3 linked regions of the Saccharomyces cerevisiae S288C genome follow. The protein of the gene in region 1 interacts with the protein of each later gene in a biochemical or structural test. Each region holds a gene or a part of one and is shown in the gene's direction. Other genes may lie near its edges.

The links.
Region 2: the proteins of MTE1 (region 1) and MHF1 form a complex in vitro, tested with the Saccharomyces cerevisiae proteins (one study listed by BioGRID).
Region 3: the proteins of MTE1 (region 1) and MHF2 form a complex in vitro, tested with the Saccharomyces cerevisiae proteins (one study listed by BioGRID).

Annotation. Positions count from the first base shown.
Region 1 is NC_001139.9:577,387-580,791, forward strand, and holds MTE1 (Mte1p), read left to right. Parts: upstream 1-2,089; coding exon 2,090-2,905; downstream 2,906-3,405. Other genes in the region: BUD9 (Bud9p), read left to right, coding at 101-1,744; sedoheptulose-7-phosphate:D-glyceraldehyde-3-phosphate transaldolase NQM1, read right to left, coding at 3,049-3,405.
Region 2 is NC_001147.6:157,571-159,945, forward strand, and holds MHF1 (Mhf1p), read left to right. Parts: upstream 1-1,602; coding exon 1,603-1,875; downstream 1,876-2,375. Other genes in the region: DUF1 (Duf1p), read right to left, coding at 1-1,067; alcohol dehydrogenase ADH1, read right to left, coding at 1,978-2,375. UniProt on the Saccharomyces cerevisiae protein: dsDNA-binding component of a FANCM-MHF complex involved in DNA damage repair and genome maintenance. FANCM-MHF promotes gene conversion at blocked replication forks, probably by reversal of the stalled fork.
Region 3 is NC_001136.10:168,736-171,413, reverse strand, and holds MHF2 (Mhf2p), read left to right. Parts: upstream 1-1,805; coding exon 1,806-2,048; downstream 2,049-2,678. Other genes in the region: DExD/H-box ATP-dependent RNA helicase DHH1, read left to right, coding at 1-1,004; ENT1 (epsin), read right to left, coding at 2,336-2,678. UniProt on the Saccharomyces cerevisiae protein: DNA-binding component of a FANCM-MHF complex involved in DNA damage repair and genome maintenance. FANCM-MHF promotes gene conversion at blocked replication forks, probably by reversal of the stalled fork.

The DNA of each region.
Region 1 (3,405 bases):
CCACTCATTTAACACCTTATTTTTTTTTTCGAAGACAGCATCCAACTTTATACGTTCACTACCTTTTTTTTTACAACAATTTCATTCTTCATCCTATGAAATGACGAAAATAACCAGAGATGTTTCGATAACGACAGAAAATTCAAAATCCACATCTGGATCGGCAACGGCTTCATCCGCATCTTTACCTGAGAACGACCACCCAATATTCCATCAACCGCGAGCAAGAATAAGATCTGGTTCGCTGTTCATCGAAGGATCTGATTCATTTCCATCATCAGAAGTGAAGTCATACAATGTTTATATTGATGATAGCAAGTATAGTGAAATCCTCAAAGGAGATACAAATTCAAGTAGTACTGATGGTAAACAAGTCTTTGAAGATGCTAGAGATGACAATTTCCATCAGGAATCACATAGAGATCTAGAGGATTCAATTTTAGATTTAGTACGACGAGATCCAGAAGTAGCAGCATTCCCTTTACCTCCGCCAAATTCAAATGAGAGGAACAGAAATTCCTCAAACGGGTCTTCCGCTGAAACTAACCTAAATGGACACAGCAGCAGCGGTACCATCTCTACTTCGGTGCTGTTGAATATGGGTTCGGCAGAAAAGCACGCTGGGACGACCAGAGGAGATCATATGGAATCATCTTCAATGAAATCCTTCGAGAAACTGGGAACCAGACCTTCTTCTTTATTCTATCCACCACCCGAAGGAACTGCGCCGTACCAGGGACCAAGGGCTACCGTCTCCGGAAATAAGTCTACAAGGCAAACACAAGGTACATACTCATTTCCTTCTATGCGGTATGGTGTAGATCTTGTTTCTCCTGTGGAAGGGGCTGTTGATGTAGCAAAAAGCAGAGTTCCTAACAGCACGCTAAATGGTACTTTTCCCGATAAAGCGTTTATCCCACATGAATTTCAAATTCCTAAAAAGGCCTGGAACAGAATACCAGCGAATAAGTCCACTAGCCTCAAAACCCCAAGAAACCATTCCCTATTAATTGACATATTAAAGCCTTTTGAAGCAGCTGACCTTGCTAATGACCAGCGAAGTTCTTCCGCTGTTTTAAAAAATACAGTGCATTCTAATGGGCAGTATAATCCAACTAATGAAACCTCTGGAACTCGAATGCAAGATCAAAGGCAGAAGAATACCAACGAAATTGATTTAGAGAAAATTCCTAATCCTCAAGTCCCTCTTGGTATCGCAATGGACACCATGCGTAGTCCAAACCAACTACACGAAAAGGAATACGAAAGTAATATAGAAGCTGGTTTAGCTTCTGGGGTCGGAAAAGGTGACAATAGTATTAAGCAACATCAATATAAAAAAATTCCTCAAGAAATTGATCGAGATCAGCAATTAAGTTTTCAAATGGAAACAATGCCCATTCAAAGAATAGATTCCTCCTCCATACGTTCATTTGATTCCCGAATATATGGCTTCTCCGAGATTTATAGTATTCCAAGGGTTATAACTACACTGTGCATCTGCCTTTTTGTTCCGCCCTTATTCTTTTTCTTTTCAATCAATGGAAATAATGGCGTTTCAAATTATAGATTAATGAGAATGATAATGAATTATGAACATAGAATCGGCCTCCTCAAAGGGTTTGAATGGGACATTGACGTACAATGGTTCAGGACATTGTGCTTTGTATTAGGATGTATAGAGATGTTAGCTATCTTTGCTAGCATAGGAATAGGATTTGGTGTGGGAATAATAAGAGAGTAACTCCATGCTGGACTTACTCGTCGAAGATTTCCTGCTACTCTCTATATAATTAGACACCCATGTTATAGATTTCAGAAAACAATGTAATAATATATGGTAGCCTCCTGAAACTACCAAGGGAAAAATCTCAACACCAAGAGCTCATATTCGTTGGAATAGCGATAATATCTCTTTACCTCAATCTTATATGCATGTTATTTGCTCTTATAATTGGTCTCTATTTAGGGAAAAAAGTCGGTTTGAGAGCTTCTCGCGATGTGAAATCTCAATTTGAACTGCACGCCAAAGCTAGCCCATTTCACGAACACCAGAAAGAAGAAATCCCCAAGGATCGCATGACAGAGTATGCTCTCTCATATCGTTGAGTATGAATGCCAATACACTGATCAGCTTTACAAGAAACGTAAAATCTGGCACGATGGTAGACTGAAATACTTTCAGTTAAACAACAGATTCATGCTTTATACGGAAAAGGATAACGTTTTGTTAGCTAGTGAATTTAAAATAAATTCAAAAGAGCTGAAAGCAATTCTAAATCCAGAAGGTTTTGATATTGAAGAACATAGGATTTTTAGTCAGTTTTTGGTGATTATTTCAAATATTATTGAGGAGTACGATAGAGATATTCAAGTGGCAGCAACGCATGTTAGGGCATATCCTTCAAATTTGTCGGTGCAAAAACAACGCCCTCTTATCTCAGACAATGCACCAAGTTTGAATCATATCTCAACTGCGAGAGAAGTTCATTCGAACATAAAAGTCACAACTCCCAATCGCAAGCAGACAGAGGACAATGCCACCAAGGGAGGATTCAACATCAGCAAACTTACTCTGAAGGTCAATAAGCCTTTCAAGAAGCCCAAGAGGATATTAAGTACTAATGTGGTAAATGAATCAAATAGACCGAGCATAAGGAGCCAAAAGATTCAGGAAGTGACACCACAACTACACGAAACAAACACAAGCACTAAAGTGCAGACAGCCGGAAAAGTTGCGTTGAATAATGATAATATTGCGCAAGGTAATTACGCCACGATTACCGAAGAAGCTAAAGTCAGAGACGGTTCCGACAGAAAGAAAGATATGGCGAACCTATCCAAAAGTGGTAAAAGGAGAGTGGGCGGGATACGAAGAATTGTTCACGAACCCCTCGGAATTTGATTATACGTCAGAATTTTAATGAATATATAAGTCTGTACACTATGCTATGCACATATACTCAAACAAATTCAATACTAAGTACCGAAAAGGAAAGTGGTATATATATATTTATATATATAAGTAGGTACCTCTACTCTTAATGATCACATTTTTTCTTCAACCAGTTTGTACAGTGCTTCAATGTCTGCGGAGAATTTTCTGATACCATCTGATAGTTTTTCTGTAGCCATTTGATCTTCGTTTAAAACATATCTGAAATGAGGCTCGTCGTTGATAAAAGAGACTTTTTCGACGCCTTCTTCCTTAGCACTCTCAGAATTCAATTTGTTTTCAATAGGATCTGTTGATTCATATAACTGTTCTAGAAGGTTCAGTGGGAGAGTCATATTATCAATACCGGCTAACGCCTTCAATTCATCTAAATTCCTGAAAGAAGCCGCCATTACCTCAGTTGCATAACCATGCCTCTTATAGTAACTGTATATCTTCTTAACAGAAAG
Region 2 (2,375 bases), on another chromosome or scaffold:
AGTTTAGCATCTTCATAACTGGATAAGTTTGCTCTCATAACATTGCCCTGAGAGTCACCAAAATACAACTTATCAAGGCTCGTTCCTTGGACACACCATATGGAAGAATCCCAGGACCAAGATCCAATTTTTTTGGGAAGCTGAAGGGCACCAGTAGTCTGATCATGCCTACAATTCAAGTCCCATACATTTATTACACCATCTGAGCTGGTACTGATTAGTCGTGTGGAGTCATCAAGAGTTCTTACTACTTTTATATTTGTTCTGTGGGCGTTTTGAATTCTTATCACCTCCTTACGATATTTACACGAATAAAAAATCAAATCACCATTACAGTCTCCGGCAACAAAATCAAAGGGACGAGACGTTTGATTGTCATCAAAACTGTATTTTGGGATGATGGGACTCATGGAGTATATTGAGCCTGTGTCGTTTGATTGTGCATTATCAAATGTGTGTAGTAGCGTAGCCATTTTTTCTGGCCCGCTGCTCAGGCACCAAAGTTTGATTTTTCTATCTAGACCACCTGTCACAAAAAGAAAGTTGTTCTGTTCATCAACAACAATGCCATTATTTATTCCATCGTGTACATTATCAGGACCACCCTCTTGTTCTTCCAATTCATAGTCATTTGACATTTCATAATGTATGGGCACTATGCACTTGATATAATCGTCGTGGTCACCGATTATTTTCTTATCCCAGGTAGTTAACTGCGCATTCACACTAATTAATACTATCGAAAAATCGTGACTTACTGATATGAATGTGTCCCCTGCAGATGGGTCTGAATTTTTCATATTAACATGTATTAGATCGCTTGCCCAATCGCTATGAACTTGCATTCTTATCGCATCGTTTTTTATGGTAGTTGCAGCAGTCTCAGGCTCGTTCGAGAGCTGTGTGTTCTTGTGCAAAATTATGGAACCATCCCTTCCTGAAGTAAGAAAATAGTTTTTACCAGGTATATCCGGGTACAGAATCTTTGTTATCGGTAAGATGTGCGCATCTTGGGAAGTGCAGTAATCTGGGGAAATTAGGCCATAACTCACTGTCAACTGATTCATTATTACCTTTCTATTTTCTCCGGCTTTTTATTGGCTTGCTCTTCTAAAGTCAGAAAAGCGTAGATTTGCTAGAATGTATCGTTTCCTCGTTAGGAATGGCTTGAACTAATTCCTGTATCTATGCAATTGCAATCCAACTACACTTATACGACGTCAAAAGGAAGGGGCGGAGCGTTCTAATTGTAGTTGCAAAAAGCGATGTAGTCGTTCTTCAAGTAGTAATTAATACCAGGATAGGACACGGTGTTATGGTGCTGGTAGTTACTTGTTATAATGTTATTATTGGGCAAAAAGAGAGTTCACTGTTTAACAATAGCAATGGGGTTTTTTTCAGTATACATTTGAACTGCAATGGAATTTGGGCGGAGGGAGCAGTAAAGGGGCGATCAGAGTTGAAAAAAAAATGCTGCCGTAAAAAAAGCATGCACGTATACACTTGAGTAAATATATTTATGTATTCATATCTCAAGATAAGATCATGATACATAAAAGCGATATAACGTCTTGAAGCTCAGGTAAGGGGCTAGTAGATGCAATGAATGACGATGAAGATAGAGCCCAACTGAAGGCTAGGCTGTGGATCCGTGTGGAAGAACGATTACAACAGGTGTTGTCCTCTGAGGACATAAAATACACACCGAGATTCATCAACTCATTGCTGGAGTTAGCATATCTACAATTGGGTGAAATGGGGAGCGATTTGCAGGCATTTGCTCGGCATGCCGGTAGAGGTGTGGTCAATAAGAGCGACCTCATGCTATACCTGAGAAAGCAACCTGACCTACAGGAAAGAGTTACTCAAGAATAAGAATTTTCGTTTTAAAACCTAAGAGTCACTTTAAAATTTGTATACACTTATTTTTTTTATAACTTATTTAATAATAAAAATCATAAATCATAAGAAATTCGCTTATTTAGAAGTGTCAACAACGTATCTACCAACGATTTGACCCTTTTCCATCTTTTCGTAAATTTCTGGCAAGGTAGACAAGCCGACAACCTTGATTGGAGACTTGACCAAACCTCTGGCGAAGAAGTCCAAAGCTTCTCTGGTGTCAGCTCTGTTACCGACGTAAGAACCAACAATAGAGATGGACTTGACGACTTGGTTGAAGACATCAGAACAACACTTGGCACCAGCTGGCATACCGACCAAAACGGTGGTACCGTTAGCTCTAACGTATCTGGTAGAAGCTTCAATAGCGGCTTCGGAAACGGAAACGTTGATGACACCGTGAGCACCACCGTCAGTGGCCTTTAGAACAGCACCGACAATGTCCTTTTCCTTAGTGAAGTCAATGAAGACTT
Region 3 (2,678 bases), on another chromosome or scaffold:
GTAGAGTGTTGGATTTAGCTTCGAGAAAAGTAGCAGATCTGTCTGATTGTTCATTATTCATCATGGACGAAGCCGATAAAATGTTATCTCGTGACTTCAAGACAATAATTGAACAAATCTTATCCTTCTTACCTCCAACTCACCAATCTTTATTATTTAGCGCTACTTTCCCACTAACGGTTAAGGAATTCATGGTTAAACATCTGCATAAGCCTTATGAAATTAATTTGATGGAAGAATTGACTCTAAAGGGTATTACTCAATACTACGCCTTTGTTGAAGAAAGACAAAAGCTACATTGTTTAAATACTTTATTCTCTAAGCTTCAAATTAATCAAGCCATTATTTTTTGTAATTCTACTAACCGTGTCGAATTACTAGCCAAGAAAATCACTGATTTAGGCTATTCCTGTTATTACTCTCATGCAAGAATGAAGCAACAAGAAAGAAATAAAGTTTTCCACGAATTTCGTCAAGGTAAGGTTCGTACATTGGTCTGCTCCGATTTATTGACCCGTGGTATCGATATTCAAGCCGTTAATGTCGTTATCAATTTCGATTTCCCCAAAACGGCAGAAACATATTTACATCGTATTGGTAGATCCGGTAGGTTTGGCCACTTGGGTTTAGCAATCAATTTGATTAACTGGAATGATCGGTTTAACCTTTATAAAATCGAACAAGAACTGGGCACTGAAATTGCGGCTATTCCGGCCACTATCGATAAGTCATTGTATGTGGCTGAAAATGACGAAACGGTACCTGTCCCATTCCCGATAGAGCAACAGAGCTATCATCAACAAGCGATACCTCAGCAACAATTACCATCTCAGCAACAATTTGCTATTCCTCCGCAGCAACATCATCCACAATTCATGGTTCCTCCTTCGCATCAGCAACAACAGGCGTATCCTCCACCGCAAATGCCATCGCAGCAGGGGTATCCTCCACAGCAGGAACATTTCATGGCGATGCCACCTGGTCAGTCACAACCCCAGTATTAAAGAATATCTAAGAAAAAATAACTACTGTGGTGAGATACGCTTTTTTTGTGATCTAATCGTCGATTATTTTTATCTTTTTTCAAATCTCCATTGTGAATTACATTACTTTGTAACCATACTTTTACTATTGATTTTGAACAAGAATCAGTCGTAATTTAATTTTTGTCTCTGCTTTTTTATTTTTTTATCCGTTTTCTCTAGTTTCTGTGCTGATTTTTTTATCCTCATTTGCGCACCGTTTTTATTACTATCACTTTGTTATTTCTTTTTGTTTCTCTAAAATTATCTCAAACCACTTCATTCTTTTACCAGTCATTGTTGTAACCAATACTACCGTCCATATCAAGAGCTCAAGTGCACTTGCCCAGTTTCATCGACACTTTCGCTTTTAGCTAACTTTTATTGTTATAATTTCCACAATAAACTATTCATTTCAACTGACAAGATGAAACTTTCTTTGAATATTCTTTCTTTTTTTGAGTTTTTTTTTTTTTAAAAGCTTTTTTTTTTTTTTTTTTATAGAGAGTAATCTCAAGGAAAGAATATTAATACTGTGTATATATATATATATATATACATATATATATAAAACTGTTTAGATAAATTAACCAACCAAAAAGATACATGTATTTTTATTATTTTTACCTATTATTTTTTACTTTGCTGCATCTTCATGTTTCCGGGAGACCAGAATTATCTTTCGGGCCAAAATATCAAAAATCAATCATACATAAAAGCGTGTTAGAATTTACATTATTGCACTTAGAAAGGACATGAGTACAGAGCACAGTAATTGTGGTGATGTTATCTAAAGAAGCGTTAATAAAAATCCTCAGCCAAAATGAAGGTGGTAATGATATGAAAATTGCCGATGAAGTAGTACCAATGATACAGAAATATTTGGATATATTCATTGATGAGGCGGTGCTGCGGTCCTTGCAATCTCACAAGGACATTAACGGAGAACGTGGCGATAAAAGTCCCTTAGAGTTATCGCATCAAGATTTAGAGCGTATCGTAGGGCTTCTTCTGATGGATATGTAAAAGTATTCAACTTACATTACATCCATGTAAAGACATAAGACATTCCTGGTTGTCTGATAAATTTAAAGCACTATATTTTCTTTCAGTCGTCCTGAACTACGTTAGTTTACTAAAGTAGTTTTTGGAGCGATCGTGCGCTCACATATACAAATATACAGTTCATTTTATACTAAACGCTTGCATCAAAACGCGCTGTGAAATGATTAAATTACTTAGTCCATATATATTATGCGATGCGAGAAAATGCTCATCTGATTAGAAATGCGGACTGGAATGACAGAATCACTTCATAAATCAATTAGAGTATATCCCCGGTTATTTGAGCCATTATTTTGAGACTGCTGTTGAGACTGGTTACCAAAGCCATAGCCTGTTTGTGTTGGTACGACGCTAGTGCTTGGTAAACCTGTATACTGACTGTTCAAAAACGGATTGTGGTTTGGATCATCCGATACTTGCCTATATCCTGTTCCTTGAGAATTGATGAATGTTCCTGTCTTCGTATGTTGGGCAGGAATACGAGCCTCCCCTACATTTCCGAATGTATCAATACCTGTTCCTGTGGCTAGTAGCTCGTTTAGTTTACTATACTTGTCTGTCATTGATTGATTGCCTGTCCTGTTTTGAATC